2 linked regions of the Styela clava genome follow. The protein of the gene in region 2 interacts with the protein of the main gene of each other region in a biochemical or structural test. Links are inferred from orthologs where the notes say so. Each region holds a gene or a part of one and is shown on either strand. Other genes may lie near its edges. The genes, in order: nuclear migration protein nudC-like and platelet-activating factor acetylhydrolase IB subunit beta-like.

Region 1 (15,717 bases), on a different chromosome or scaffold from region 2:
TAACGACCAAAAAAATGGTTAAAGACATACAACAACATTGATACGATTAAAAATGCTACAAGGCAAATAGTTGAAACATAACTCCATATCTAGTGAACTAATCTATCAATCTAAACCAGGAGACGAGAACACAAATCGAAAACTAGATGAGAATCCCTTTAGTCCGATAGAATCTATGTTTATATTTAATTGTAACTCAATATTACAGCCCAGCCCACCTTATCACTATTCTGGTTCATGGACTCTGCAGTAGCAGCAACCAAAGCAAAGTATTGGATGACTTTCTTGGTATTGACAGTCTTTCCTGCACCAGATTCACCACTGAAAATAAAATAAAAAACATTCGAATTGAATATTTAGTTTTGAAAACAACTGATAAGACATTGATATTTGATAATTGATTTTATAAAAAACAAACTTACGTGATCAACATAGACTGATTCTCGCGATCTAAAAATGATGAAAACGTTTATTAGTAAAAATCATTTCTAAAATAGACAAATCAACAACACAAAATAATTTCATGTGAAGCGACTTATTGACTTGTAGAGTGTAGGACGATATTTGGTATAGCATGCTGTCTAAGTAAAGCGTCCGCACATGGGCACAGAAAATCGTCCAGCCCCCTAAAATTGACATTTTAACTATTTAATTAAGCAATCAGCAATGAAAGGTATCAGTTCAAATTCACTCATTAGCAAATGCATGAAGAGAAATTTTTCAAGTTTTCGTATAAACGTTATTTTTATTAACGTTATAAAGGTTATTTTTATCAAATTTTAAACTCACTCATCAACATTTCGGTGTATGCATTGTCAGCAATAGAGTACAAGTGAGGAGGCATTTCAGTTCGCCTCTTTCCTTTGTAGGCTTGGATGACGTAGGGTGCGTACACTGGCAACATCTTGTACGGGTTGACAGTGACGCAGAAAAGACCGGAGTACGTCTGAAAAAAAGTAAAAGTAGATTGATAAAATCTTTAGTAGCTATTCCAAACTAACGGAAAAAGATAACTAGGCCTACTCTGATATCATAAATACATACGTAAATCATGAATGCTTCATAACGATCTTTCAAGTTATTCAGTACAGAAGCTTCATTGAGATGGGTCATGTTAACCATGTCTTCGCATTTGTTGTACCGAGGGGGATTCATTTGCTGAAGGTCTTCTTCTTTCAATGTGACTTCCTGTATACAAACAAATATAAGAAGTTATTTAACAATATGGAATGTAAAGAAATTAATTCTTGTAAAATTCTATATCATCAGAGATCAGTATTGGAATTGCCGGTTCAAGTTCGATGGAACCCAATGTCGAATAGCGTTGATTTCGCATGAATGCATAAAAAAGTTAGAATATTTAAAGAAAATAGTCGTTGCTGCTTTCAAATCAAAATCAAATTTTCTCAGCATTGAAGCTTGAATTGTTTAAAACCGATGAAGCCACTACGTAGGATGTCATTTAGCATGCTATTTGCAAATCTTCGCATTTGTTATGAAAAAGGTTGCTATATATGAAATTTGCATCGGAAGAATATGTCGATTCGTGCTAAGAGAATTAGGACGAAAATTATATTTTGACCAATGATCATTCAATATTGCCAACATTGGATATATATATATATTACAAAACTTGACAATGATAATTTTTTTTTAATTTCTTTATTCATTAATCTGTGTACAAACCTTTTCGCCGTCTAAAGATTTTAGCTTGCATTTTCCACCTTCAATTGAAAGAACTTCTCCTCTCAAATAACTGTCATTCTCGGCGGGAACCCAAGCGTATTTCTTACCTGTAAAAATAAACAGAATATTAATCTAAATTTCTAAATTCAATACACGCCCCTTCCGGAAACAAAATTGCTTTGTTATCTGCCTAAACGACTTCAATTGATTTCTTTCATCAAGAGTTAAGAAATGCCAGCTGCAATTTTCAGCACTTCTCAATCGTGTAAATACACCATCCAAAAATGGCTACACCAAAATATTTTGCGCTTACCGTCGGGTTTTTGAGTTTGCAATTCCAATAATTCCTGCTGGGACATGCGAAGGTACGGTGCTGCATCTTGAAACATAGAAAGGTCCAAAGTTGCCATGTTGATAAGTTCCTGATTAGGTTTACTAGACTGAAATGTTGCTCGAAATATTCGATAAACTGCAATGGAAATTTTAAGATTAACAGTAAACTGAAAACAAACTCGAAGCAATCGAAAGCAGGCCGAGTCTATTTCAAACATAAACAAGGCAATCGAAGTTCTGACGGCAACAACACATTATTTCATCTACATCTTGGCGAAATACATATATATATATATATATATAGTTGTTTGTTTCTCTGTATTAATAGTATCCGTTGCGCACGTGCCTTACTATTCCTTATTACTGGGATTGTACTTGAAAATATAATTGAATAAAAACCAAAAAAACACCAAAAGCAAAACATTCTAAAATGAATAATAGATTAATGATATCATGAAGCTAAAGAAATATTTTTATGCTGTTTTCGACTTTTTTATATACATAGTTCCTGTCGCGTTTGAAGAGGACTGCCCTTTCTGGTATTGCTAAAAATATTTCGCAACAAATCCTAGTACATTTTACGACGCTTATTAGACTTCTTACTCACAAGACACACACATGTGAATAATATTCTGAACACGAGATACTTTATTATTTAAGATAGTCTTCTCGCTCCTTACCTGCGATTCCATTTAGCACGAAGTAACATTTCGACAACTGTTTTACGAGGTGTCAGACAGCTGAGATGTTTTGTCGCACCTTCCGTTGAGCGATATTCTAATTGTACATGGAGGTGGACTAGAGGTGTAGTCTTCTGTCTCCATCGGGCAGTCACACATACAATACAACCGGAGCGATAAACTGGCTACAAGGAATGAAGAAATGAGACGGAAGTGTAACAAAAATGCGATGATAAAACAACATCATCTGAGTATAATCAAAAATAACTCAAAAAACTTCTCTCCACAAGATATCTGTATTCTTCCGTTTATGTTATAGTCTAATTTGTGCAAACAAAACAGGATCTTCGTCATCCTAATTCCTGCGTTCAAGCATCCTTGTGCTAACTTAACGTCCACATATCGATCCGAACTGAATAAGAAAAATGGAAAACCTGTAATTCAACGGTTCGTACACGTCTGGGTTTGGTCTGGTGTAGTTAAGTACCACATTACGTCACTGCGACATACTAGGGCCCGCAAAAATATACGGATTATCGTCCAAAACGAGCCGATGACCATCTATTTCTCTCGTCGTATCGACCCCGATATGAGATAATTCGTTATCGTCGGCGCAGATTCCATTTGTGGCGATTGTAAGTCAGCGATACTTTGGCAAGCTCTATCGTATCGTGAAATCGTAGTGACGTAATTTTCGGATGACGTAGTCAGGTGGGGTTAGGAATAACAAACAAAAATGGTTGTGGCACGATCTGAAGTACACGTGGTACTAAACTACACCCAATATCCTAGTAACACCTGCATCGGAGTATAATTTGATGAACTTCCAAGTAGCTGTAATATGTCATTTGTGTATACTAAAATTTTATTAGAAATAACCAATGGCACTTAATCTTAAAATACTTCTCCTAGGGCTCTTAATTTAAACTACTCTAATATTACAAAGGTTGAATGTGATCGACTTCTCGTCGTTATTGGTGCACTCACATTGCAGTTTAAAATGAATTTACCTGTCTTGGACTACTTTATCCAAACAAACAAAAACCCATTGACGGCATTGAAATTGTCATATGTCTGAAAACTCAACATTTCCACTTGATATACAGTTAAAAATTCTGAATTAACCCGCAGTAGTAAGAAGAATGACCAGAAAAATGTGAATAAAAAAATGAAGCATTTAATAACAAACTTTTCATTCTCTCAAAACTTGAGACCAATCATCAACATATGCAACAGTTCTATCATATTCAGTTTGACAGCATTTGTGCAATTAAATTACAGATTATGTATGATTATTCATTCAACAATGGAATGTAAAATATCATACAGTTACAAAATAATACATTGCAAAGTATAAATCACAAATTTCATGTGAATATGATTAGGGTTATCTAACCATCTGTTGCATTTATGAGGATACCAGGTTCATCATATGGATTTAGGGTTAAATCATGAAAATTTAGCTTTCGAAAAGTCCATTTCCGGATGTTGCGCCATAAATTTTTTCAACATGTCTTGCTTCTTTTGTTCTTCCGATGTCGGAAGACCCATTTCTTTTTGACGTTGATCGAACATCATCTTTTCTACCATTCCTCTTGTTTCCCCATCAAGATCACTCAACTTGGAATTCTCAGGGTTGACTTTTCGTGTATTGATTTCAGGGTCAGAGGTCACAAGTCGACTCCACCAGCTCATCTTATCAACTTTTTCAATATTAACAAGGAGTGCTTTTCTGTCTGTTATTGTCCAATATGATTCATCAACTTTAATTTCCGCATACGATTCGCCATCAATGATAGGAGGATGACCTTTTAGACCAACTTTCAAATGTTTGCGTTCGATTTCACAAACAACATCTTTCGATCGCACAGGAAAATTCACATTGAATGGCACTTTTAGTTCCAACTCTTGTAAACTCTGTGTCCAAGAATAATTTGGTAAATCAGCACCATTGCCAGCGTTCGGTCGAAGTTTTCCTTTATCAGCTTCATCCTCTTCTTCTTCTTCATTGTCTTTCTTGGTTTCTTCTTTTACCTCTTTTTCAGCAGAGTCCCCGTTTTCCATTTTACTATTGACATTTACTGAATTCTCCTTTTCTTTTTTCTTCGCTGATTCTTGTATTTGTCGTGCTTCTTCTTCCGTAACTTCAACTATTTTGCTTTCCTCTATTTCCTTTTGTCTTTGCTTCTTTTTTTCTTCCTCTTCTTTCCTTTTCAGTTCTTTCACTTTTTTTTCTTCCTTTTTCGTTTTGTTACTGAGTGCTATTTTTTGTTGTCTCTCCATCGCAGTGATTACAGCTTTCTCCGCATCTCCTGGCTCTCCTCCGACAAAAAAGTCTGTTTTTCGTCTCAAAAACGCAAAAAATGTGTCTAGTAGTTGGTGAACACCACCTTGGTGCTGTGTTGCAATGTGCATTAACAAACCATCCCAATCTTCTTCTTGTTTGGTGAGTTGTGCCATAGTGTTTTTTAAAATTTTACTCTTTAATAAGTCTGAAATATTAAGAAACGAATCATATTAGAAAAATAAGAAAGCCAGAGAAGCAATTCAAAGGTGATGAACCAATATTCATCAGTTGTAAAGGGGCTAAATATTTATCTAAAAAATTAAAATAAATTTTATGTTTATTGAGTTTAAAAAGACTGCACTATTTCTGGTCAAACCTCTAGGCATTGACCGCTTGAATGATGGAGGCATGAAGTCTCTAACATAGAATGTCAAATAGATAATGAACTAACAGTTTTGCATTTTTCAAATAAATGGAGAATTACATATTTCATATTACGAAGACATCCAGCACACCCAGTGCAACTTGACAATGTGAAAATACCACAAACAACATTATTATTGTTTCAATTATCTCATCTTTATTACACCAATTATTGTAATCGGATCACTTGAATAGTTTCTTAAACTGAATATTAGGGTCAGAAAGCAGAGGTCGGATCACTTGAATAGTTTCTTAAACTGAATATTAGGGTCAGAAAGCAGAGGTCAAGCAATTATGTTTTGGAAAGTATAGCTGGAGTCTGAGTTAAAATTTTTAATCCATAACCTGAGCTCAAATTTTCCTATTCTACTCCACCTAAAGTTAATGAATGGCTCAAAGTTGAATAAAACTCTATCATGTCTTTAAAGCCAGGAAGTGGTTGATTTATGATTAACCAAGGATTACAAGAGTAGGTATATCATGGTATAACTAATTCTCCTGATTTAATTTTCTCTTCAAATTTTGCTTGGAGTTTTGCTACTTCATCTCTGCGTTTAGCACTTTCATGCTTTTCCCGCTCGATTTCAGCGAAAGTCCGGAATTTCATATCCATGGTTTCCTCAGCACGCTTCGTTAATTTAACATCATAATCAGGCCAATGTATTAGATTTATATCTAAAACTTTTACAACAAGACAATATCGTTCAAAATTCATTTGTCTCAGTTTTAGCAACAAGTCGTTCCTGAGTTTTCTTTTTCTTTGTAATTTTTTTTCAAGATATCCACTTAAATATTCTCGTTTCACATACTCCTCTTGGTCTTTACGAATTGTGATGGTTAGACCAGCGATTTCCATTTCAAGCGAATCAAAGTCATATTTGTGTCTTTGCAATTGTTCACCATATTGAAGAAATTTTGATTCCAACTTTTCCTCTTTTGTACCAAACTCTAGGGTAAAAATTTTACGCACATTTTCCGGGGCGGTTTTCAGTGCTTCGATATGTCTATATTGTGGCCGTAGCATTGTCTCATCCAAGTCATCAAGTTGACTTATGCGTCTTCTTTCTTCTGGAATATCGTTATTAACTTGTTTTGCTGAACGCCTGGTTCGACATGAAATGCATGAATTTGTTGTGACTTTGAGAATAGTCAGAGGAATCTGATTAGTAACCGTCACTCTTAATGACTGTAACATGGTTATTAGGCTGTTAAACTGTCACCTGATCTAGCACAACACTGCATTGAAAAAATCAGAAAATAATTTGTAAAACACAAACAAAACACCTACCAGTATATTTTTCAATCAATCAATCATTTTAGTTTCTCCGCCGCAAAATATGGCTGTATGGCCACCTAGACCAGTGGTTTTCACCCTTTTTTTGCTTGTTGGCTTGCGGAACGGTTAAATTTCAGGACCGGTACCGTACAGTAAAAATAAAAAATATATCAAAGTTCCAGGATTCGCAAGTGCCTGGTTTTAGGGAGACCCCAGTAAACCTTCAAAATTTTTTCACTCAACCGGTGCGGTACCGGTAGGATAGGATAGGATTTACATATTTATCCCGGGGGAGAGGAAAGCCGATAAGACGGCTTATCCATATGGCGAACCACGGCCTCTCGTCCGGTTACCATTCCAAGTCGGGTACCGGTATGGGATTAGTCTTTACTGTATTGTTTGTTTTTCGGAACATGGACTTGGTGGTGGAGGAAGCCGTAACCGACCAGCGGTTACGTGAACCACCCAACGACGGCGAGGAGTCCAGCAATCCTCTCGCACATAACCATCCCTGCATGGGATTCGAACCTGCGAACCCACGCAGAGCAATTAGAGGTGCGGTGGCGAGCGTATTCCTAACGCTTAGCCCGTTGAGCCACACCGCCGCGCCAGCAGTACACCGCCGGTACTTATCCACACATTGGAAATTTCGGTAAATATCAACCCCAACATCATTATTAGTATGCAAAACATTTTGATTATGAACAAATAATAAATTTAAAATAAATAAAAGAAAGAAAGTGCTGGATACACCTTAATGCTGTAATGTGGCGCGGCGGTGTGGCTCAACGGGCTAAGCGTTAGGAATACGCTCGCCACCGCACCTCTAATTACTCTGCGTGGGTTCGCAGGTTCGAATCCCATGCAGGGATGGTTATGTGCGAGAGGATTGCTGGACTCCTCGCCGTCGTTGGGTGGTTCACGTAACCGCTGGTCGGTTACGGCTTCCTCCACCACCAAGTCCATGCTTCCGAAAACAAACAATACAGTAAAACTAATCCCATACCCGACTTGGAATGGTAACCGGACGAGAGGCCGTGGTTCGCCATATGGATAAGCCGTCTTGTCGGCTTTCCTCTCCCCCGGGATAAATATGTAAATCCTATCCTATCCTATCCTATGTGCTGAACAGACCACGAAACGTCGATTTTCGAAATCGCTGCCAGCATGATGCATTGGCAAAGCTGTTTGGTGGTGTATGGAGTTTCTTCCGGTTGGCCACAGACCGTAAAAACAATATTGCGCAAATCAGAGAAATTTTATTCGTCCCTCTCATTACATTGCCATGCCGTTTTTATTAATTGAATAAGCGAATTATAAAAAATTACGCATTGCATTCAAAAAACGATGTTACCACATATCCATCAAATCTAAATTTGCCTCTCACAAAGGTAACATCAAGGCAGTATGGAAAACAATTAATGAACTTATTGGTAAAAATAAAACAGGTTCTTGTCCTTTGATTGGACTCGATTGCAGTAATACACAAATTGCAAATAAATTTAATGAACACTTTTCCCAAGTGGCACAAACCCTGCTCGACTGTATGCCACAACCAGCTGGCTGTGACAAAAATTACATTTCATATCTTGGAAAGCAAGAATCCTCATCCATGTTTTTAAGGCCAACTACATCATTAGAAATAAAAAATATTATACGCGAAATGAAGCCCAAGTCAAGTTTTGGAATTGACGGTATTCCATTCAAAGTATTGAAACACGTTCCAGAACATATCATTGACATCCTGACATATATATTTAATCTTTCACTATCTAGTGGGTTATTCATTGAAAGCTTCAAGACATCTAAAGTTCTTCCTCTATTTAAAAAGGGTAGTGTTTCAGATCTTGGAAATTATAGACCTATTAGTCTTTTACCATCATTTTCTAAGATTCTTGAGAAAATAATGTATAGTAGAATGTCAAACTTCTTTGAAACTAACAATGTTTTCCACTCTCATCAATTTGGTTTCCGCAAGCATCACTCCACTGCTATGGCTGCTAATGTTTTGGTACACAAACTGACCAAGGCCTTTGAAAGCAAACAACATGCAATTGGAATATTTCTTGATATTTCAAAAGCTTTCGACACCATTGACCATTCCATCCTTTTAAGTAAGCTCTATCACTATGGAATTAGAGGCGTCCCATTCAATTGGATCAGGAGCTACCTGCAAGACAGGAAACAAATTGTGCAATATGACAACTCATTCTCTACAAATATTTGTGTCATGAAGCACGGAGTTCCACAAGGATCTTTACTTGGCCCATTATTTTTTCTAGCTTACATTAATGACATGTCCAGGTGTCTGAAATCCTCTGAGTCGATCATGTTTGCTGATGACACTGACTTGATTCTTCATGGGAAAAACCTTGAAGATCTACTCACAGTTGCAAACCAAGAACTAACCAACATTCATAGCTAGATGTTGGTTAACAAATTATCTCTTAATGCTAACAAAACTAAATTTGTATTATTCCACCCAAGCAAGCATAAAAGTGTGAGTAGTTCAAAACCACTACTGCTCAATGACAATGAAATTGAAAGAGTGAAAGAAATAAAATTTCTAGGAGTTATCTTTGATGAAAATCTATCATGGAAATCACAAATGTTGCATGTTATTGGTGAAACAAAAAGGAACTTGGCAGTTGCTGCTAAAGTATCCCAGTGCGTTAATCAATCAGCTTTACTAGCAATGTTTCAATCTCTACTACTAAGTCATATCCGATATTGTAGCTCAGTCTGGCTCCATGGTAATAAAACACTTGTCTCGAAATTGCAAAGCATTTGTAATAATTTTTTAAGAATTGTCTTTAGGAAAAGTAAACGTGAAAGCGTAAATCATTTCTATAAATCGCTAAATATACTCAAGGTTGAAGACATAATGAAATTTGAAGTATTATCATTAGTTTATGATTTTCATGACAACTCATTGTCAAACTGCTTTGACGACATACTAACCAAAACCACCTCCAATCGAAGAAGTAATTCCAATTTATTTATACCGTTTATGAGTAAATCTGTGAGCCAGCATGCCCTATGCTATAATGGACCTAAGCTATGGAACTCTCTCCCCTTGAATTTGAAGTCATTAAAATCCAAAAAATCATTTCAGAAACAAGTTAAGTCGTACTTGGTATCCAAATATTAAAAGTTATTTTCCCATAACCACACTGATATATATACTCTTTCGTATGAAATTAGCTACAACGTTTTGATAGCTCGGACACAAAAAATATTGAACCTTCATGAATGACCATGATAGAAAGTTGGGACACTCTTCACTTGCACATACTTATTTTCATGAAAATATTAAACAGCTACAATATTGCTATTGCTCCTGCAGCTGCTGATTGTTGTTGAGCCGGCAGTTAATCTCTCTCCACCTGTTCTACATCTATTGTTGGTGTGTCGGGTTCTGTAGCATGCACAGCAAATTATTTTATTTATTTATTTTTCAAATGGCTGTTTACACTCTGACATCTGCATGCGCATGTTCCCTTTTTGCTTAACGTTGGATTTTTGACATTACACATGCATGATCTTTGTTTCTATATGGGTGGTGTGATACCTTATGAGGGTTGTAGACCGTATAGTTTAGCTCCTGTACCTATTATTGTAATTAGGCGACCAGTGGAGATATATTGGATTCTCCCCTTCATTTTAATTTGTTGTGGTATTCTATGATTTGTTTTGTGTGTATACAAAATTTTATCCTAGGTTGAGGTTCTGCTGTGAAGTTGATGTGAAGGCCAACATACGAATGGTCAGTGTGGTTTGAGAGTTTCTGCATGGTTTGCGAGGAATTCACCCTGTGTCCCAACCATATTTCAACTCTGGTCTTTGAACTAGCGTTTTATAGATAGATAACTAATAATCAATATCTACTCGAAATAATAATTAATTCTAAACAAAAGTGTAGGGTAGTGCTGTTTCCAAATATGTAACCCTTGAATATCCTACTCGCAGATTTGTTTTCTGTTTTTCAGGTCGTTCTGTGATGATCAATACAATGGCTAGTTTATTGAATATAAATGGTGTCTACAACAACAAAATTCGCAGGCTGATGTCTCATCCACGATAAACTTGAACCTATTACGCCATAATAATTAAATGAAGAAATGATCCTGTGAAATAACAATACTAATTCCTTTATTCCTAATTCCTTTATCCTTGCAGAAGTCAATATCTAAGAATGAAAAAAAAAACCTTATAACCTTAGCAACCAACATATTCCTATACCCTGTCTTTCTACCTTAATTAATTATAATTACTCATACTTATAAAGTTACTGATAGATTTAAATACTTATTGCAATCTGGACTACAATTTGGCAATAATAGGCTCTAGTTTGGGCAATGAAGTGGTCTAGCCCACCTCTTCATGCACCCAATTCTGGCAACTTTGGTTGGGCATTTTGGCATTTGACTCCATCTATAATCAGCTTGACAATATATTTTTTTATAAAAGTTTATCTTTACTGTTCACTCCCATTTATAAAATTGATCAATTTGGCAGTGGCAATCATGATAAATTTATTAATATGGTGTGGCAAGTAATTTTTATTTATTTATTTTTTATTAACTACCAGTATGTAATTTTTCATGTTCCCTTTACTTAATAACTTCTATATGGTTGTGTGTGTGGGTGCGTGTGAGCGTGTGTGAAATATTTCAATTATTTTAGGTGAGTGAACACGTACCACATCTTCTTGGCAAAACCTTCCATCTTATATACATTCTGTACGTTTTAAACCTTATCTAAGGTTTTGTTCGCTCTCCTGATTTCATAATCAGTTTTTATTTATTTATTTTTAGCATTCATTTTATTGTTTTGCTGATTATGGAGTCGAAATAAACTTATACTTATTAAACTTATTATCCGGTACTGTTCATCAACTGCTTGCCACTCTGCGTCAAACACATTACCAATTTTAAAATGTAAAACGATGTCATAAATTTGAATAATTTTTAAAATTTCATTTATGTGTTTTGAAATAATGTAGTTAAAAATCGTTCATTTATACCTGTGTTACCTAACATCTTTTTTACTTCTGACTCTCTACTAGCCCCACGTGATTAAAATTTCCCCGTTTTTGCATTTGTGTACATTATTTCAAGCGGTTAGCCAATTATAAAATAAAACTTTGTTGTGGGCTTTCTCAGTTTCTCTTAAATTTAGTAAAATGTTAGTGATATACGGTAGTTAAATTGACATCCAAGATTGGTACCTGACTTCTACATTACTCCTAAGATCACTGGTAAGTTTAAAATATGTTTAAGTGAAAGGTGATCTTGCCACCTTTGGCAATTCTGTCTGGGCAATTTGGATGAAGTAAACTTTAACAATAATTAGCTTGGCGATATTTTTGATAAATATCATTTTTTCTGTTTACTTGTGTTTATTGATTTGGTAGTCAATGATTGAGAAATTTAAAAAAAAAATCAGAAATCATTGATATACAGATATAGGTGTGGGAGTGGCAAATATATTCTTTTTATTTTTGCATAATATATAAATCAGAGTTTCCCAAATTTTTTGGGCTGCGGACCCCTATTCGAGAATCTTAATTTTGATGGATACGCGCTATGTATCAATTTCCATTTATAACACAAATGACATTAATGTGATGGATTAGATTGCTTTCCACTGCAAAATTTTTCGATTCTAGGTCTTGACCTGTATTTTGTCATCATATTTATAAGAGTTGAAAATGCTGCCTCACGCATGTAGGACGTTGCAAAAGGCAATAAAATTTTAATTGCCTTTTCTGACAGCAATGGATATTCGTCCGCAACGCTCAACCAAAAATTTGCAATTGCTCTTTGATTGAAATCAATCATTAAATATCTATCAGACTTTTTTCGTATCGTTTCGTACCCTGTGCAGTTGTCACGGACCCCCGGGGATCCCTGAACCCCCAGTTTACCTCCAGCGACACCATTCTGTTAAAATTCTGTATGTTTTAAACCTTACTTCCGTACATACAACTTTATTCGCTTTTCTGATTCTGTAATGATTTTTTTATTTTCATCAGCTATTTCTTGTTTATTTTTCTTAGATTCAAGATGGCCGTGTTTGAGATCTACTCATTACCTGCATTGTATCGATACAAGTCGAGTGTTTGGTCGAAAGCTTCCTTCTATGTCCTGGCAGTGTTAGTTTTAACTTTCATACCACCTCTGCTAATTGCATACAGAAGCCAAGGATTTTGGATTACAACAAACACATATCAAGAACAACCAGACGTCACTTATAAGAAACAACTTCTTATTGTGGCGGAACTTGCAAACCCTGGTGAATATTTTGCATGGAGCACGTATGCAAATTTTAACAATTTATTACAAGGCAATTTACGTGTTCCCCAGGTGTCTTCCTTTGAACTTGATAATAATCGTGATGGTCTTAACGATCAACTCTCGCTTAATATAAGTGTTCCCCTCACATCTTCAGAACAGGTTGTTAGTGTTCACCTTCTGGTTATCTTTGACTACAAGTTATACAGAATGTCAACATTTGAAATGGAGAGCATGGTTTACGTATCACAATCTTCGGCTTTAGGTGGGGCGGGGGCGAAGGTGACTGGTGATCTTGGATTGTATCAAAGAGTGCCGTTATATCACAGAGGCACTGACATTAGATTCAATACTCCTATCATTGATTCGACAAGCACTTTTGCTTCAAGCTATGATTTATTTACTATCCTAAAAAACTACTCCCAAAGAAACATTACCACAAGACTTGAAAACTCGTACAGTGTATGGTCGCCTGGGCGTTTGCCCACGGAGCCCTTTGTTTTACAACTTGATGTCTTTTATCCTACAGAAGTGATAACCTACCAGCCTGGATTTTGGGAATTAATCAAATGGGGATGGGTCCAATATGCCACCATTTTGTTGCTCTTTTTATGGGTGTTTAAACGAATTAATAGAACTGTATTTGAAGGAAATGTCTTCAATACAGTAGTGCAACAACCAAAAGTGAAGATAATAAAAGGACTTTAGCATGTAGAGTGGAATTTAGATTAAACTATTTAGATGATGTGAACATCTCTGTTTTACATGAATATCAAGTGACTGAAGCTTTAGTTGGATTCCTGACCCTTTTTTATATCAAACTTATTCATTACTCAACTCTCAAGCATACATGTCACACTCAGAACCGGATATTTGGTTTGAAATCAGAATGGTTCGCTCCAGTATAATCAAACTGTGGCTAACTTGGGAGTTGAGCTTCTTCAGAACTGGAGCCACTAATACTTCTGGTAGCTTGATTGGCCTCAGCTTCAAGAAATTTTCAAGGCTCCAGCTCAGTCCTGATGAAGTCGAAGATAGGTTTTGTCAAGACTTTCAAGCTAGTCAGAAACAATAAATTCCATTTGACAAATATTGTGGCCATATTGCTTCCTGACTTTTTAGTTTGAAAAGTAAAACTCAAACACCAGACACTGGAAGACTAATTTTTGACTATAAAAATTTTGGTGTCGGTTCTGATTTTAACTGATGAAATTCAGAAAAAAGGGTTTGGAAATCAACTCAAAACTATTATAACAAAGTATTCTTTCTACTGCAATAGAGTATCAGTATGGAATAATTTCATTTCTGGTTGTATTATTTTGATAAACCAATGGTTTTATTTTGATTAGCAATTGAACGTAATTTGATATCAAGGTATTTTATTTAGTGATACCTAATATTTGAATATGAATATATTTTTACAAAAAAAGTTGAATTCTTGCTTACGGTATATCTTTGTTACGCAAATGCAACGCAAGAGGGATGTTGAAACCTGGTCAGTGCGGGGACTGGCCATGTTTATGCACATTGTAACAATGAAAAAAAAACTTACAATCAAATATGAAAATTGAAGGGTGAATGAATCTCATGGAAACTGGCATTAGAAATTACCATTGAGTGGGTGTCACACAGTTGGGAACACCATGCCATTATCTTAGCTTGTGTAATTCAGGAATACTGTACAGCAAAATGTCTTTCTCTCGACTTAATTAAGGTAGTCCACCCATGGATTAATGACCAATCAACCTTTACATCCAACGAACCCGGTCATAGGAAATTATGCTTGGCGGTGTGGCGTATCGTGTAAGGCGTTAGGGATACGTTCGCCACGGCACCTCTGATTACCGTGCGTGGGTTTGCAGGTCCGAATCCTATGCGGGGATGGTAATGTGCGAGAGGATTGCCAGACTCTTCGCCGCCGTAGGGTAGTTCACGCAATCGCTGGCCATACCTGACTGACAACCGGAAGAGAGGACATGGTTCGCCATAAGATTGAGCAGTCTTATCGGCCTTCCTCTCCCCCAGGATAAATATGTAAATCCTATCCTACTTGAATATATAATCACTTTTGTATTCACCTCCGGTATATTGCAGTGGATGTAAATAGGAGAGCAATTTGGATGCTACCTAGCTGCATATCTTCACACCACTGCTTATATCTTCATCAAAAATTCAATCACCCTCCAAATCACAATAGTTGCTGTGGCAACTAACTAAAATCATTTTTTGACAATATATTTTTTGTGCATAAAAAGCTAATACGAATAGGTTGTTCTTATGTGTCCAACTACCCAGCCTGAACAAACTACAAATCAACAAATTAAATCACATGAAACTATATTGTAAATTCCGATAAAAGAGAAGAAAAATGAATAATACGATAAAAGATAAAACATACACGATCATCCCCACATGCACACACTTCATATATAAAATAAAAACAAAACGGGTACAATATTCTATGTATGGCAGGGATATAGTCCTTTATAAAGGCAAAGATATTAAACTGTCCGAGTAATACTCAAACCAAGGCTCCTTTCTATTCATAAAATTGGAATGACCTTTTGTTACCACAATCCGGCTATAAAATATAATATTCGAAACATCATAATAGGAAAGGGAGAAAAAAATCTTGAATACCGAACTAATCGAAATACAGGCTTTAATGTGGCATTGTTACAGCATAAGGTAACAAAAACATATTTTCTGTGATTTTATGATCTGATAGAGCAATAA
Region 2 (17,221 bases):
TGTACTGGCGAGCAAAATCCCAGGAGATAGTGATGCACACTAAGAATAATATACCTCTTTCAGTCACTGGTTGGTTATAGAAACCCTCATCAATCGTATCCATGAATTGCAACCAATGATGTCCACAAATAATCGAATATTTCAATACATTCAAAATGAATTATGTTCTATGTACCGGTAGTTAATTTTTAATTTTAAGAAGAATCTAAAACAGTGGTTCTTTAATTAATGATGGGGCAGAGACAACTTTTTTGAGAGGGCGCGGCTTAAAAAGTTTGAGAACCAATGATCTGGAATATTTCTATGTGGAAAGATATAATTCTATTCAAATATGTCCATCCCCGAGTTTGGAACAGTTTTGAATAATATACCATCAAATGCAAAATAATGAGGTTTCACAATTCTCCAAGCCACACAAAATAAATTTTCAGATGTACCCAAGAATAGTCCCAATTCAGATTATCAAGGTTCAGTTGTATTTAGTTTTTGCTTCAATTTTGAATCGTTATAGAAAGAAAATGTTGAAATTTAAAGTGTTTTTTCAATCCATACCCTGTAGCAACCTCCCATAGTTTCATTGTTTTGTCTCTACTTGCTGATATCAAGTGATCCCCGTTTGGCATAAACGTAACTGATGAAACATTATGATCATGTCCTGCAATAGAAATTACAATTATGTTACATTTATTATCCCTACTACACTATCAGAAAGAATTAACCTGATATAGTGAAAGAATGTAGGATGTTATTATTTGGAAGATGTCATTTTTCTTAATAACTGATAAGTTAAATTTTTTATTTTCCATATTATGAAATTCAAGTCAATATATAACAATTCTAGAAAATCACCTAACTGAATTGTTTCGATTAAAAAAAACAAAAATATTTATTCAGGATATTTATTGAGTTGAATTTTATATATCATATTTTATATCATAAACTGCACTGTAATTTGAATTAGTTTCTGATCTACCCACAACTCAGAAAGAATATAAAAGCTTGAAGGTTGTCTTGTATCCATATAATACAAGGTTTTCCATTTGTTTATATAATATTATAATATAATCGAAATAAATTTACTTTCATATTATCATTCATAATAAGCACAAAAACCATTGCTACAATAATATTTTAATTCGAAAAGGCACAATGCTATCCATTATCGAATATACACAAACAAAAGGATTGAAAGCCCTTACTTCCAAAGCAAACTAATGGTCTAACAAGGTCAAAAAGGTTACTCTTATCTAGGAAAGACAATATTTCAATGACATCCAAGTTACTTGGCTTATTTATGCACAGGTTCTGATGATTAAAATACAAATACTAGAACCTGTGGACATGTTTATATCCAAATAGTTCAGTACTTTGAAGAGCTATATATAGCCCACGGTGACCGTACATTTGAACCCATGTGTATATCCGTGGGTTCAATCTATATGCGGGTGCTAAAACCCGTGGGTTAGGGTTAGTTTGGGTTCAAATATTCGTAAAACAAAAAAAATCCATAGGTGCAATAGTATGCCGGTGCAATTGTCGTGGGTTCAAATGTAATGGAACCCTAGCCTGCTACATAAAAAACATAACATTTTTGTTAATAACTGCAGTGCAAAACCAATAAATTTTATATAAAATAGCAATTTCATCTGTAAGAATTAATGGAAATTTTTTTGGTTTGTATTTTGTTTGAACTGAACTCCTTGGAATCCTCAGATAAACGTCAATTTTTACTTTTTAAACAATATAACTTGTTCTTCTAGAAATCCACCATTTTTAAATGTTATAAATCACAAATTATGTTACCCAACAGTATTTTCCTGATTTGGTTTGGAAAAATTCATATGTTACCTAGAAATTTCCGTAAGAATTAAATACATAAATGTGAAGTGGAAATTCAGTGAAATCAGTCCATTTGAATTGGAAACTAAAATTATTTGCCTTACAATATTCCAGAGTACCTTATAATATTTTACATAAAATTTTAACGTTTTTATTATTCTGAATTGATCTTTCATGCACAGTAATTATGATTCGAAATTGATTTTTATATATTTTCATAATTTTATTAACAAAGTCTTAATTTGAAAAATAATTTTTAAATAGGAATTATTATGAAGATCCTAAACACTGATCTTGTTTCATGCAAACAATATTCCTAACGTTAGTTGCGTCACCTTTTATTCTTTATGCAAGAAACAACTCTTTTCACATAAATAATTTAAACTAACGGTGGGAGTGTTTTCAGCAGGCATATAGTGCAGGCAAATTCTACTATAGTCTATAACACTTTCAAATGGTATCTCTTTCAAACACCAATTCACGATGTAGGTATGCATATGATTATACATTTATTAAAGGTACTACGTGGAAAAAAGATTTTCAAAGTGTAAGCATAATTTGAAGAATATCGGGGCCGGCCAAGGCTCAAATATTGAAACTATTTATAAATCTTGGATATTGATTACATAATATAGTAGTAAGTCATGTTTGGAGGAGAAAAGAAGTGGAATATATATATGACTAGACATAAGTCTGACTGCATATCTGATTTTAAATATACCATTTGCCAATTTCAATTCATGATACAATTGTTAAATTACAACACAGTATTAAAGCATTTTGTACGCCCCCTTTAATTTGAGACTATATTGTGAAAATTTCTCACAGAACAGATTAAGAGAAATCTTATTACTGACCCAAATCCGCAGTCAGTTCTGAAAATTAGTAAATCTCACTTCTCGCATTGATTCATAAATTGATTGATGTCAGTCATCAAATAATACATCAGTCGCATTGACATTATTTTATTCATGAATATTAACTGAAAGCAAGTGGCATCTAATGTATTTCTTTACGAATCTTTAATTTGGGATATTATACTAAATGTAAGAATATAATATGGTCTTTTAAAAACAGTACATAGTTTTTTTCAATGCGGCGTTTTGCGAAAAGGATTTTCGGACTTTGCCCAACTCCGTGTGTGAACTGTAACAACTTCAAATGACTTCAACTTTATAACCAATATTCAACCAAATCCTAAATGTATTTGAATACATAATTAGTTTCAAATATATCACATCATGATAGTATCTAAAAAAACTGAAAAATTTATTAACTTCCACTGATGTCTTACCATGTAAAGTTTTTGTACATTCATAAGCGTCAAAGTCCCAAATCTTGATTGTCATATCAGCAGAGCAAGATGCTAAAATACAAACAAAATGATTTGTATCAAGGTAATTTGTATTATAAGGAAGGCATGAATTTAAAAGGATGTATGTACATAAGCCAAATTTAAAAAAAAATAAAGGATTTGAAATTGCTAGTATTATAAAGCGCTAATACTAATACATACATACAGAGGAATTCTGAAACAAATGTTAGGTAGACACACACGAAAAGTCACCTCAGTAAAAAAAATTAAATTTTAATGCTTGATGAATTTCTTTATATTCATTTATATTCAAATTTTGGAAAGTTGATATGACCAACGTACAAGAATTAAAGGCTGTCAACCTCTTTTGATGTGAAATGTGAGTATTCGAGCAAGGTGGAAATAGATTACTAAAAGTAAAATCTAGATACATTGAGTCCAAATGTTGGATACAAATGATATTCCAACAGATTGTATATTTCAATTTTGATACAGTCTGAACAACGCCAACTATTGCACTCAAATAAACGTGACAAACCACTCATAGGTTTTCTAAATTGTAAATGATGTGAAGAGCAGAGCAAACCATTGTGTAAACTGACCTACTGGGGGTAAGACGATCTTTGTTTTTGGTGAATCAAGTCATATCAAAATTGATACTAACCTAAAAGTTTTCCTGAACTGTCAAAACTAACATCTTGAACAGAATCTGTGTGTCCTTTCAATGTTTTTTCAAAATCACCGTTTTCATAATCCCATACCTGAATAAATATAATCAAAAATTCAAATGAGATTGCAATAAAACTGATTGAAAATTAAGAAGGTCAACTTTACTTTTAGATTTTACTTTGATGGCATGTCAGGTGAAAATGTTGGGTTAAAAACCCATGCCCACCATCTCACCCAGAGTGTAAAATTAGAAAAGCAATGCAAAAATGGAAAGATTCTGGTCCCTCAATCTATGGTAGCTCCTTACCTAGCACATAAGAATGTATATATGAGGAAATTCAGACATCTGTTGAAATGTTAGGTATGGTAATTATAAAAACTCCTACTGATTTTGCTTAGAGAAGAAATCTGATAGAAATTATGAGAATACTTTTTTGTGGATGAAATAAATGAATTCAAAGACAAATAGTATTTGCTAAATATAACCATGAAGACAAAAATTGGAACTAAGGATATCCGAAACAAATTGAATATATTTGAAATTAGTGAGATTCAATATAATAAATACATGCGTGAGCTTAATGAATGGTTAGAAAATACATATTTAAATTTTATTTTTATTTTAGGCATTTGACATTTGATGCTCAGACGTAAATAGACTTAAACCTCCCTTCACTGGAAAACCTTTATCAATGTGAGCAGTGCTTATTCTAAATATTCTGTATAGACTGTATTACCTAATTCAATTTCAATAAATTCACACATTTCTGTAAATTTGATTTCTGCAAATTTCTCTGTTGAACATGATCCAACAATAAAGAATATATTCAAAATTCAAGAATATTATTATATATATTATTTGGGATAATAAACTATTAGATTTTGCCATTCATGATAATTCACTTTCGTTATGATTATTAAACAAGAGAATCAACTACAAAAGTAGCAATAATTTAATAATGTGCTTTTGATTTGGTTTCTGCGGGACTAACTACTCATCCTTCTTCTATGCTCAGGTATGCATATAATACTTCCTCAGCACTTGGAACGAAACGTTACAGAAATATATCTGTGATAGTAAGCAGCAAGACTTAATCACTAGAAAAAATTAAACAAATATTGAAAACTTTTAGCTGACCTTTATTGTGGTGTCCTCAGAAGCAGATACAAATACTGAATACACAGGATGAAAAACTACTCTCGTAATCGGTGTTCGATGTCCGCTTAATGAGTGACGTTCCGGTGGTCGTGGTATCCATTCTGCCGGATCTTTTCTATCTCTTGGGACAATTCCATCTCTACTTTCATTTTTTAATTCATTCAATTTGGATTCCAAATCCATGACCTGAATATAAGAACATTTTAAAGATTAAGATATTAAAATAGAACTTGAAATTATACGGCAATGAAAAAATCTGCAACATCAACACAGTATGTGATTAAATGCGGCCACAATTGCTCATCATCAAAACTATAATGAGAATTCAAAAATATTAAACAATACTAGGGATATCCAAAGCAAGATCCAAATACCAGTAGATTCGAATTTAGGATTACCGGTGATAATATTGTTCTTTGAGATATGTTTCTTTTAAGTATTGGGCAATATTATTATTAAATTAACCAATCAACACTATTTTTATCTCTATCTTTCTGTATTTTAATGTCAAATTATATGAATAATGACTTGAAAACAGTGAACTCACTGTTGTGTGGAAGATCCTATCTGATATTCCATATTGAAAATTATTTTGCTAAATAGATTCTGAATCCTAAATCATTATTTTGGTCTTTCTTGATTATTACCTTTCTCTGTAAACGAACAACAGATGTCCATTTCTTTTCCATGAGTCCTTCATATTTCTTGTCAATATTTTCAGACTATAAAAAAAAAATAGCTCATGATTCAAAGGCCAACTAGCAATACCAAATCATAATGAGATGATCCACACTGGGACTAAGAAACAAACCTATACAATCAAACAACTAATTAGATAAGACTTATCAAGTTTTGTTTACCTTTTCCAGTTCCTCTGACCCATTGGTAGCAATATTCATTACTACATTACTGCAATACTATTACTTTAAATCCATGCACTGGGACTTCAAAATTCGAATGATCATGTGGAAAACTCATGTTATCAAGGATACTTTTTAATTATCTATATTATAAAATATTGAAAATAAGAAAACTTACCAAGTTGGCTTCCATTCGGAAGGCATTGAAGGCTTTATCATACCCATTTGATCGGAGATATTCTGATATGGCATTGTTTCTGAAAATATAATTATTTGTGTAATTGAAGCGAGAGTGAATGTATCGCACAAATGTCAGAATGTTACCACAGACAGAACGTAACAAGGATTAAAAATGTTACAGCCATTTTTATGCAAATTCAAGTTTATTTATTTTAGTAGATCATTAGATCTATTATTAGATCAAAATTACTATACTGGGATTTTAAGACTAAAACAGTTGAAACGTATCGAAGCAAGAAGTACAGAAGTATGTCAGATACCGTAAAACCGGCTAACTTCGGATGCCTTGTAACTTCGGATGAAATTTTCAATCATTCATATCTCAACTAAATTTCGTCGTATTGCGCTTCTGTCGGTTTCTATAGTAAGGCCTTACATATCTGAATCTGCCGTAGCCTCCAATCGCTCGATTTGATTTTTTATCATTCAAAAAATCATATTTTACCAAAAAAATGACACCGTTTTTTCAAGCGGCTCAAATCGTGACTTCTACAGACGCTACTTTCGTCAAATCACCGCCAAGCGCTAGAGAGCGTACACAATGTATACAAAAAAATACAGTGATCACAAGGTGTCGTACGAGATTCGAGTGAAATCGATTATTTTGATTTAAAAATTACATCAAAATATCGACGTTTTGATGATTACGTACAGCGTGACGTCAACGACGCAAATCCCTTTCTCTCTCTTCGTAGCCGACGTCACTTTGCGTAGCTCGTGCGTTACTCGCTGCGACATTTGAACGCCAGACATCGCGGCAGTTTTGTGAAATTTAAAAATTATGCTTATCCATGATCCTAGTCACTATATCCTACAAAAACATCACTATCGTCTCAGTCATATGTTGTTTATTTAAAAATATGGGTATGCATACGCTTAATGCATATGAAATTTGTCGATTTTTGTTTTTGCATACTTCCTCCGACACCGATAGATACCGTATGCAATAAATTAGGAGTAGTTAGTGAAATATATACGAGTTATAATAAAGGACACAAGAATAAATAGTTAAGTTTCGCGAAGCGGCAAGAGTAACGTCACGTACAAACGTCAGTATGCAACACGCAAGACGGGTCGTGGCGGCGTAAGGACTATTCAGCGACGTTGTCACGCGTCATTGCTTACGCAGACATTTCTCTCTCACGACGAGTTGACGCAAAGAGAAAAGTGGCCATCCGAAGTTAGATAATTTTAGAATAGACGAATAAAGACAATAATTTCAATGAAAAAAGGCTTTGATGGATATGGAACCGACTTTATCAAGACGAGAATAGCCACAATGTATTATATTCCAAATTTGGCTTAAGTTGAACAACATGCGGCGGAGATATTGTTCAAAATATAGTGAAATCATCCGAAGTTAGCCGGTTTTACGGTACTTCTTTAGCCAGTTGGGTCTGTAGGTTGAAGTCCTGGATCGGAATTAATCATTTGCAATTTTTTGCAGATTTACTCAGGTTATAGAACATGAAATTTCAAGAACTTACAGCTCATCTCGTTGTCTTGATGATAAAACCATTTTCACTGCATGCCGAAAGTTGTCTCGATACTGCAGTATTTTCTTACTTTACTGGCGATCTAACTTTACAGCTTTAAAAACTATCTTTGAATATTCAATTATGATCCATACGAATTATAATTTCTACAGAATTACAATTGCCTAAAGGAATAATAAAGCTTAATCTGCAAATTCAAAATGGCAGATTCTGAGATTATTTAGCAAAACTTTGAAAAAATGTAGCAGCTTAACGCAATAGCAAAGTTTTAGATATGCAAGTTGAATCGTTTGCTCCAAACTACCAACCGTTTTGTTCCAAACATATTACTATCCATGTATGGTTATGTAAGACATATTAATTAAAAATCAAATACGATTCACTTCCAGTTTTCACTAATCCTGTAATCCGATACATTTTACCCTTTAGCCATTCAATTCAACAACCCGTGGATATAAAGATATCACAACTTACTACATCGCAGACTGTTGGGCCAACAGACTGAGATGTGATAACAATTACCAGTCACTTTGATTGAGGATATTCTGACAGCAGTTAACCAAAACTGCAAAATTGTTATTCAATGACATAAAAATGTTACGGTACTGTGTTATGGTAATGACACCAAACTGCCATATAAACTATACCAAAAAATTTCGAGTATCCGCAGTAAATGCAGCTTCAGATTTTGGCTCACTCAGCAATCTGGCAATTGTCGGATTGTTGTCAACGTTATAAACCATACGACAGATTTGTGGTAAACTAAATTATCGTTAAATTCATCTTTTGATACTAAGGTGGCATTATTGAAAATTACTTTTAGCAGTGGATGTCCTCCAGTGGTACTAAACATAATACAGGGCGTGACTCAAGCTGTCGTTGCATTATCGCACAGATACCGTACCCCAGATTAAACCGAAACAAAGCAATCTTTCCAAAAATATAGTGAAAACGACAGTCAATGTGTCACGTGACAAGTCAATCTACACGCTTGATTAAACATGACAAGGGCAATGCCATCTTGATCGGATCATGGACAATGCATGTCATGCAACATTTGAGATCGGACATGCTTCATATTCATATCAAAACTTCTAGCGGTCTTCGTTTTGTCGGCACTCGGCAGGGCGGGCAGGCTACTGAGCCCGAAAGTTTATCAGGCTTAAATTCCTGGTCAAATTAGCCGCCTTGGCGCTGTTTAGTAAGGATTCAATAATAAAAATCCTGATGTTGTTTTATTACAAAAGAAAGTCAGCCATTAGCAGTAAATTCAGTGGTGAGATTCAGCCGGTTCGCACCAACTCAGAACCGGCTGAAAAATATGACTTTTGCGATGGAACCGGCTGACAAATAACTTAAATCCCACCACTGAGTAAATTGTATTGAGGACAAAAACATTCATTCTGGGGAGGGTATATAATTTGGAGGCTATATACATGCAGTTGAAATTACACTTCAATGCACATAATGAAATGTGAAAATGAGATGAATTTTTGATTTCAGATAGCGTTCAATACAGCACCCAGCACATGGACAACATTATTGGACACGTAGTGAACATAACGATCGTTTCAATATTATGTTGTTTATGTTCTTGTTGTTATTTGACACAGAATAACACACCTAGTGGAAATATTAAAAATCCGCTTTTCTCTTCGAATACTGGACCGATTGCTTTGAAATTTTCAGTGGTTGAAGATAAAATTTTTCCCCAGAAGGCTATTACTTTTATTCATTTTAAATATACCTGTTAGCTCTGTGAGATTTTGTTTTTGTTTTCTATGACGTCATTAAACGTTCTGCGTTCATCGGACGCCATTTTGTGTCCTACTGTACTGCTTCGCTTGGTGTGAATATATTTGTAGACTGTGATCTGACGGTACGCTAGTAACGGTACACCGTACTGTACTGCGAACAGACGTGTCCATATATTTGGGCGTAGCTCTCTTGTTTGAATTGTATTTCTCTTGAATTTTAAATATATTTCCCTCCGAAAGGAAAACCTGTGTCGTGAAATAAAACCCAAATTTTTAAGACGGATATCATATTTATGAACATTATTTGAAAGTATAAAATAGTGATTAAAGGCCCTTTTGAAGATCATCTTCATGTCGACGCATAGATTTTGCATTTTTTCATTGAATACATTTCCATCCTCTGCAAAGTTTCATGCTTACAGTAAACTTTCTCTGAAAACGATATGTAGCCCACCTTAAAACTTGATTTTGTAAAACTTACTTAACTGTAATGACGAATTTTGTCGCTGACCCTTACTAAGAATTTTATATTGCAGTCGTGGGTGAAACAAACTATAATAAGGAACCGATTTAAGCGTTTTGAAATTAAAAATGCGTCCCAGCCGTTTGCGATAAATTCTTGACCAGTGGGTTAGTATGGGAATTTTAGCCTAGATTATCATCAATCCTGACACCCACTTATTTTTATACTATCCACTTGTTCAATTTTTATTTCCTAAAAAGAGCTTGAAGCGTCAACATGTTTCTTTTGTAGACATAATTAATTACCTTTAGCTAGGTCGGACTGCTTGTTTACCTTTCATTCGTCGATTGACAGAGTTAAATAAAAGAAAAATAGAATAAAAATAAAACTGCGAAGAAAGGACTCCTGATTCGGGCTGAAATGTTTGAGCCAGTACTTATGCGATAGAAAGAAAAATCTATTATCTTTGACTTGTTATTTACGAATCACCACCATGCATATTGCACTGCTGATACAAGATCTGAAAAAAGCCGCAGCGATCCGTTTTGTGTTTTCAAGTGTATGAGTGACTCGAATTATCAAGAAAACTATACTGTAGTGTATCTGAATTTACAGGTGTACATTGGTTCAAGGCGCTCACTACTGGTATACAATAGCGTGCTGATCAATTCAGTTCAGATGAAACATGAAAGTTTGTTTTTGTAAAAAGTGTACCACATGAAGTGGACACAGAAGCTCAAGATTGGATAGAATCTTATAAACCTCAATGGGTAGAATTCGACTAGCTGATAAACTCGGTGCCTTTAGTGCGGTGGTGTTCAATTGAGATATTTCGATGCTAATAAAACGGGAGTATTCTCCACTCATTTTGGCAAAGATGGACAAAAAGATACATCAAGCTAGGTTGATAAAAAAAATTTCAAGATATTTATTTTGCCATTTTAAGGGACATACAATGGGACTGGAACCACAATCCGTATATTTACCTGGTTTCGCAGAAAGTCGTAGAAAGATGGTGCCAGGACAAAAGCTTTGGACGCTTGGTTGTCAATCAACCCTTTTTCCCCAGTTCAATACTTCAGAAAGTACACAAAACAGATATTATCACGTTCTAACCCAAATCCCATTTTTCGAATTTTAGAAACGTACACTACCAAAATGCGGACGATGAGATAGGATATAAGCAGTGGTGGGATTCAATTTTTTTGTCAGCCGTTCCCTCTCAAATATCATATTTTTCAGAACAAACAGAACATTGACAGTAACCAGTAATGCTAACCGGTTCGCTGATCTCATAAAATTCCGTGAGGCGGTTCTAAGAACTGGTGCGTGCCAACTGAATCCCACCACTGGATATAAGTTGAATTATATTTCGCCCAAGAAACAAAATCAGACCGCAATCGTGCCACTAGTGTTGCAAACCGCCCTTTATTTCAACGGATAATTAAATCGCGTGACAGCGTAACTTTTATGGAAACAATATCTATAAGCGTGGAATTAATAGCACAAACCTCTGTAGTCTATATGGAATTTAACAAAATTATTTACAATGATTTGTTTGTGTTATATGATATGGACCACGATGGGGACTTTCTATGTTAGCCAAGTGAATATACCCCTTCCCATAGGTTTCAAAAGACGAACAAAATTAGTTACCTCCATATTGGTACACACACTTCTGGAGCGCCAATAAACGAATTAAATTGAATTAAAGTCAGGGACGTCGCAGCATGGTAGTAGGCTAGGTGTGGGCCACACTCGACCACAGAAATTATAATTGGGATAAAACATACTAGTCGGCGTGAAACTTTTATTGCGTTCGGTTGGCAAAAACAGGCATCTTCACCGTCATTTTGTGTGACGCTATTCTGGGTCAGTCAATTTATCAGTAGTGTTTCAATAATTGTACATTTATTTATTCAAGTTTTTTTTTACCAGGTTAAGTCTGTCAGTTGCATGCTAAGAAATCAAGTTCCCGCAATTAACTAGTAAAGTAAGTCGCAAATCAGTGGTAAATCGGTTGCCTACCGTGTTTCCCCAAAATAAGACTGGGTCTTAAATTCACTTTTTTTTTTAAATAACACTAAGGCTTATTTTCGGGGGATGTCTTATATTTGCATTCATCAAAAACGAAATTACAAAGTAGAATTACGAGATTTTCATATATACAAAATATGGAAACCGATATTCCTTTACTTATAAATAAAACGTTTTTATTCAAAATAACTGCAAAACATCGATTATTATCAATCATTCAGTTTAAAACGCGTAGAAGAGATATCGACTAGGTCAAAAAAAAAATTCGCGTTATTCACTAGGTCTTATTTTACGGGGAGGACGGTATGTTAGTCGTTGGGGAGGACTTATATTAAAATCATTTTCAAAATTCAGGCTAGGTCTTATTTTCAGGGTAGGTCTTATTTTCGGAGAAACACGGTGCATTGAATAAAAAGAAATTTTTACGACTGGTCCATTGGACGTGACAATGGGATAGCTCGCCAGAAACAGTACTGTCCCGGCTAAACCGGGACGTATGGTAAGCTTAACAAGTAAATGAGCCAAAATTTCGGGATCGTGATTATCCGGGATCTTTGCCCCACTTGCATGTTTTGGTAGGATCGCAAGGTTTTCCTTTCTCAATTTTATATATTATGGCAATTGCTATACTATATCTTACTAAGCAAAAATATATTTAGTCAACATTAATTCAGTTTTATCGCTAATGTAACCTTTACGCCTTTCATGAAAGAAAAAAACATTCCAACGACCTTTGACCAAATCTGTCGGAAGGTTTCGTTATATTTCGGTTGTATTAGTTGATGCAATCGCTATGTATTGCTGTTTGGGATCTCCCCTCGATATGACGTTCCAAACGCGGAAGTCGAATGGGTTGACCGGCTGACTAGCTTTAGCAGCTTGCGGTTGTCGATTGCGAAGTGGGTTTAGTGAATCTTTCATTTCTGACTATCAGCGGGACCGTATCAACAGACGACAACTATTACAGAAAGCAATAAGTTACCGCGTTTTATTGCACGCGAATGAACATATACAGATGTACGGTACGGTAACTATGATATACCGGTAGGCCTAGTTGCATCAGTGCATAGTCTGATACCGGTACGTAGTCCTTTAGTCCCGGAAGTCGAATGACTGAATGGCTACCGTACCGGTACCGTACGGCTAGCTTTATCTCAATGGTAAAGAAGGACCAGATGAGTCTTATTTCAGTATTCTGGTATTTCAGTACCCTATTTGTTACCGTAAAAGTGGCTACTTCGGACAGTTCCAAACTTCGGACAATAATTTTAAACGGCCATAGGGTGGTGTAGCCAGTCTGCGGACGATTTCATTCAAACCGCTATAAAACAAAAACCAATATTTCTAACCCGTTTATTTTTTCACCGTAGGTGCATGGGCATTTCTTCTACATGCTAAACCTCGAATTAACTTTCTACGACCAGGGGTTAAAGCTATACAAACCACCAAAGTGCGACACTCTAAAGACGTATTTGCGACCGAACGACCAGTGTGCAACCACGGATTTCAAGCCTTGAACATCATTTCTGCTGCGTGAGACTAGGGCATACGCAGCCATGCGTAAAAAAAATTAGCTTCTAATTGCATTTCTGACTGTCCTATATTTTAAGAACAAGGTTATTTCGAACAAAACTCGTCAAATTATAAACAAAGCACCGCATTACAGCAATCCAACAAACAAAAACGCGGTGGTCGCAAATTGGTCGACAATGCTATTATCGACGTATTGGAAATGCGCACCCCCCTACTCCCCATCCTTTAAATGTAGAAACGCGAAACTTTAAAGATGGTTAAAAGAAACAGAACTCTACCCACCCGCCAAGTTTCAACTTTTTATCTCTCATATTTGTATGGATTTTCAAGCTTTTTCAAAGGGACAATGGGCAGTTGGCGACAAGGAAAAATGGTCCGTTTTTTTTCTTCGGTCGGGTTTTCGGTCGTAACTTTTTTGTTTGTCGCCGCATTTTAGTGTAATTTCGCAGAGCTACGAAGGATAAGTGGACGAGAACGCGTGAGAAATATCGTCTCGGTTCGTTAATTTTTTCGGCCTTAATTTAATCGATGAAGTTGATGGTCGCAAGTAGGTCTTGGCCGCAAAGTGGGTAAGCCACCCTATACCAGTATACCCTAGGATAGGATTAACATATTTATCTCGGGGGAAAGGAAAGCATGGACTCGGTCTTACTACTTACGTACAGAGCACAGCGCAGAAGAGAGGGAAACATTTTTGTTTTATTAGCGTCCGTGAAATTTTAAACAATTTGATGGGAAACAGAAAACAGTAGTACTGTAGTAGGGAATGATAACGAGTTTATATCAGTAATCTTCAACATCTTTAAATAACCTGACGTGACACAATATGAGCACACCAATGAGCAAAATCAAAAAAATTTTGGAACTCCAGAAGTATGTGCACCAAGATGGCGCACAGCCTGAGCACAGTAGGTATGTGTGCCAGGTTAGGGTGCGTCATGTTGGGTTATTTAAAGATGTTGAAGATAACTGATATAAACTTGTGATCATTCCTTACCACTGTATACTGTTTCCCATCAAATTGTTTAAAATTTCAGGGAAGCAAATAGTATAAATAAGGGAAGAAAAATGTTCCCCTCTCTTCTGCGCTCTATTAAGTAAGTACTGAAGTAGAAAGACCCGCATGGACTATTCCTGATGCAGTGATGCTTAGCATGATGAGCCACACCGTCACGCCAATTTTGACTAAGAAACGTCGTATATTGTCAATTTTAATTATCATTGGTAGCGCTGTTTTATACTGATATACATCTATTCTCAATTTTTTTAATGTTGCATGGGTATTTTTTTGGTAAAAAAACGGAAATTTTGCTGAAAAAAACCGCTCAATACAGTACCGGTATCTCAGCATCTCGTTTCTGTGTTTTATTGCATGCGAGCTAAAACAGAGAAACGCTGTGAGCCCCAGTGCACTCACAGCAGGGAAGGTCAGGTGAATGTCGAGACATCTTAAAATGGGAGGACTGTGATCTGCTGTCTAAATGTCTAGCCCATCTCTTCATGCATCCAACTTGACTTGGCGATTCTGATTGGACAATTTAACCTTAGGCTGTTAGGAGAATAGCCTATAATCCGCATGGCTGCATGGTGCTATCTTTCAATGATTATTTTTTCTTAACATTAGGAGACTAGCCTATAATCCAGATAATCAGCATGGTGCTATCTTTCAATGATCATTTTTCTTTACATGTCTTCACTCCTGTTTACTAATTTCAGAATTCTGTATTCAATTTGGCATTTCTCACAATTATTCATATGGTGTGGCAAAAAAATTACTATACAGCTGTATTTCTCTGTGGTTATAGACTATATATGTGTGTGTATATTAATTCAACACTTTAATGTGAGAGAATACGGACCACTTTTTTAGACGACATCTTTCAATCAAAAATCTGTTTGTGTTAAACCTTACTAAAGTTTTTGTTTGCGCTCCTGATGCTGTAATCTATTTATTTCTATCTATTTGTTTTATCAAATATTTTATCATCTGTTATGATGACTAAATGGTGTCGAATATATATATATATATAACAAAATTACTGATTTGAGCTTTGTCAAAATACAGACAAAATCATGGTAATACAGATTTGCCAATTAAAATTTGCAGACACAGCTGAGATTGCTAAATTTTGGTCCTTGTATTCCAGCCAATTTAGCACCAAACCCTATAAAACTGCTTCATATTAAAAACAACTTCAAATATGCCATTAATCTTCTGACCTTTGTTGGCACACAGTGTCGAATTGCATTCTAATTCCACCCTTAATTTACTTCAAACAAAACACACATGGGGCTGATAAGTGTGGGATTTACGTGCTAAGAGAATATGCTAACTATACCAACAGAGCTATAAAATGTTTAAGATTGTGTCCACTTGAAGAAATTATTTTGTTTCATGCCCATTCAAACCAGTGGTTTTCAACCTGTGGTACTCATTCTAGTGTGGTACGCGGGAGCTTTTTAAGTGGTACGCGAGCAGCTTTGAATTATTGCAACAATTAACTTTTGAGTTGGCTAAAATATGGCAAAAGCAATTTCTCTTAATCTTACCGTACATACTAAATGTATTCGCTGAACGGGTTTATAGGATTGGGTTACCAGGATGCTACTATTGCTACTTGATGTATGTGTTGGATGATCAGCATAATCTTGAGTTTTTGGGGTTAAATAAATTTTGAGACTAGGTTAGGCAGTTCGTGATAGCGGCTAGTGACGACCAAAGTGTATTCGTCCGAGTTTTGCCCTAATTCGATTCGTTTTGCAGTGATTAAAGCATTTCAGCTTTAACGGTTGATGACGCAATTTTGCACGCAATTAATACGTTGTTATTGCATTCAATAAATACTTCGAAACTTGCATGAAGGTCTGTAAAAAAGTGGTGGAGCCACATAAAATACTACCATAGCGTGTTTCTTGTGCCATTGTCCCCACCACAAATGGGGTTTTGTTGGTGGTACGCAGCCAGGTTAAGAAACTCGAAAGTGGTACGCGGCCAGTAAAAGGTTGAGAACCACTGATTTAAACCAATGACTCAATTTGCCCTGAGCTCACATGACAAAAAAACAGAACGACTTTGATTTGACTGAAGTTTTGTTACAGGTCTCCAATGACTCACTTTTACTGTTTCTCATTGACTGTTCTTCATTATTTTATGATACGTTAACCTCTCATATAGCCATGTGATGATAAAATTTCCCTTGTATATTGTTACTTCATTAAGGTATATGATGAACTGTATCTCTTGTTACCTCATCTTTCTTGCCTTAGTCATCTCACCAGAGATGTCAGGCAGTAGAATGAAGCATCATTTATATTATACTGTGTTTCAACTTGTTAAAGTTATTATTTACACAATGTTTTTAATTTACAGTTTGTGTAATACTAGTCTTGTCATGGCGGACAATGAAAGTCGGTTGATTCCTTTGTTATCATTTGCAATATCTGGTAGCAATGAAAATCTACCGGGAAATGGAGATATTGATATGTTGTCAAAAGCTTATGAAACTTGTCATGAACTTATGGAACGAGATTATACTTGTGAAGTTTTGAATAATCCTGATGGTCATTTGTGTAGCACATACCCTGAGAAAATTATCATTCCAGTTAAATCATCAGAAAAGGTTGGAAAGTTATCAGAATATGTACTGAAAGGACGTTTTGCAAGAACGAGGGGGAGGTTTGTTGTTCCTGTGCTTTTACTTGACGGAAAATATATTTGCCGATCTTCGACTCTTGCTAGGTCACCGGAAATATATTGTAGGCAAAGTTATGGGTATTGGGTAAAAGGAGAATCTATGGACATGGACACTGTTGAAAAAGGTGCAAATGAGGAAAAGGCTGTTATTGAAGAAAA

What was found.
Region 1: the proteins of platelet-activating factor acetylhydrolase IB subunit beta-like (region 2) and nuclear migration protein nudC-like form a complex in vitro, tested with the Homo sapiens proteins (3 studies listed by BioGRID). The link is inferred for Styela clava from reciprocal best matches to the Homo sapiens genes PAFAH1B1 and NUDC.

The regions. Positions count from the first base shown.
Region 1 is NC_135264.1:10,087,189-10,102,905, reverse strand, and holds nuclear migration protein nudC-like, read right to left. Parts: upstream 5,285-15,717; 5' UTR 5,160-5,284; coding exon 4,149-5,159; 3' UTR 3,857-4,148; downstream 1-3,856. Other genes in the region: myosin-7-like, read right to left, coding at 219-321, 423-450, 790-946, 1,045-1,188, 1,687-1,793, 2,000-2,096; small ribosomal subunit protein uS15m-like, read right to left, coding at 5,888-6,604; transmembrane protein 231-like, read left to right, coding at 12,754-13,689. UniProt on the Homo sapiens protein: Plays a role in neurogenesis and neuronal migration. Necessary for correct formation of mitotic spindles and chromosome separation during mitosis. Necessary for cytokinesis and cell proliferation.
Region 2 is NC_135250.1:20,620,824-20,638,044, reverse strand, and holds the start of platelet-activating factor acetylhydrolase IB subunit beta-like, read right to left. Parts: upstream 7,784-17,221; 5' UTR 7,602-7,783; coding exon 7,570-7,601; intron 6,100-7,569; coding exon 6,021-6,099; intron 5,705-6,020; coding exon 5,630-5,704; intron 5,169-5,629; coding exon 4,962-5,168; intron 3,916-4,961; coding exon 3,819-3,915; intron 3,206-3,818; coding exon 3,134-3,205; intron 656-3,133; coding exon 553-655; intron 1-552. Other genes in the region: phosphatidylinositol-3,5-bisphosphate 3-phosphatase MTMR14-like, read left to right, coding at 16,551-17,221. UniProt on the Homo sapiens protein: Regulatory subunit (beta subunit) of the cytosolic type I platelet-activating factor (PAF) acetylhydrolase (PAF-AH (I)), an enzyme that catalyzes the hydrolyze of the acetyl group at the sn-2 position of PAF and its analogs and participates in PAF inactivation.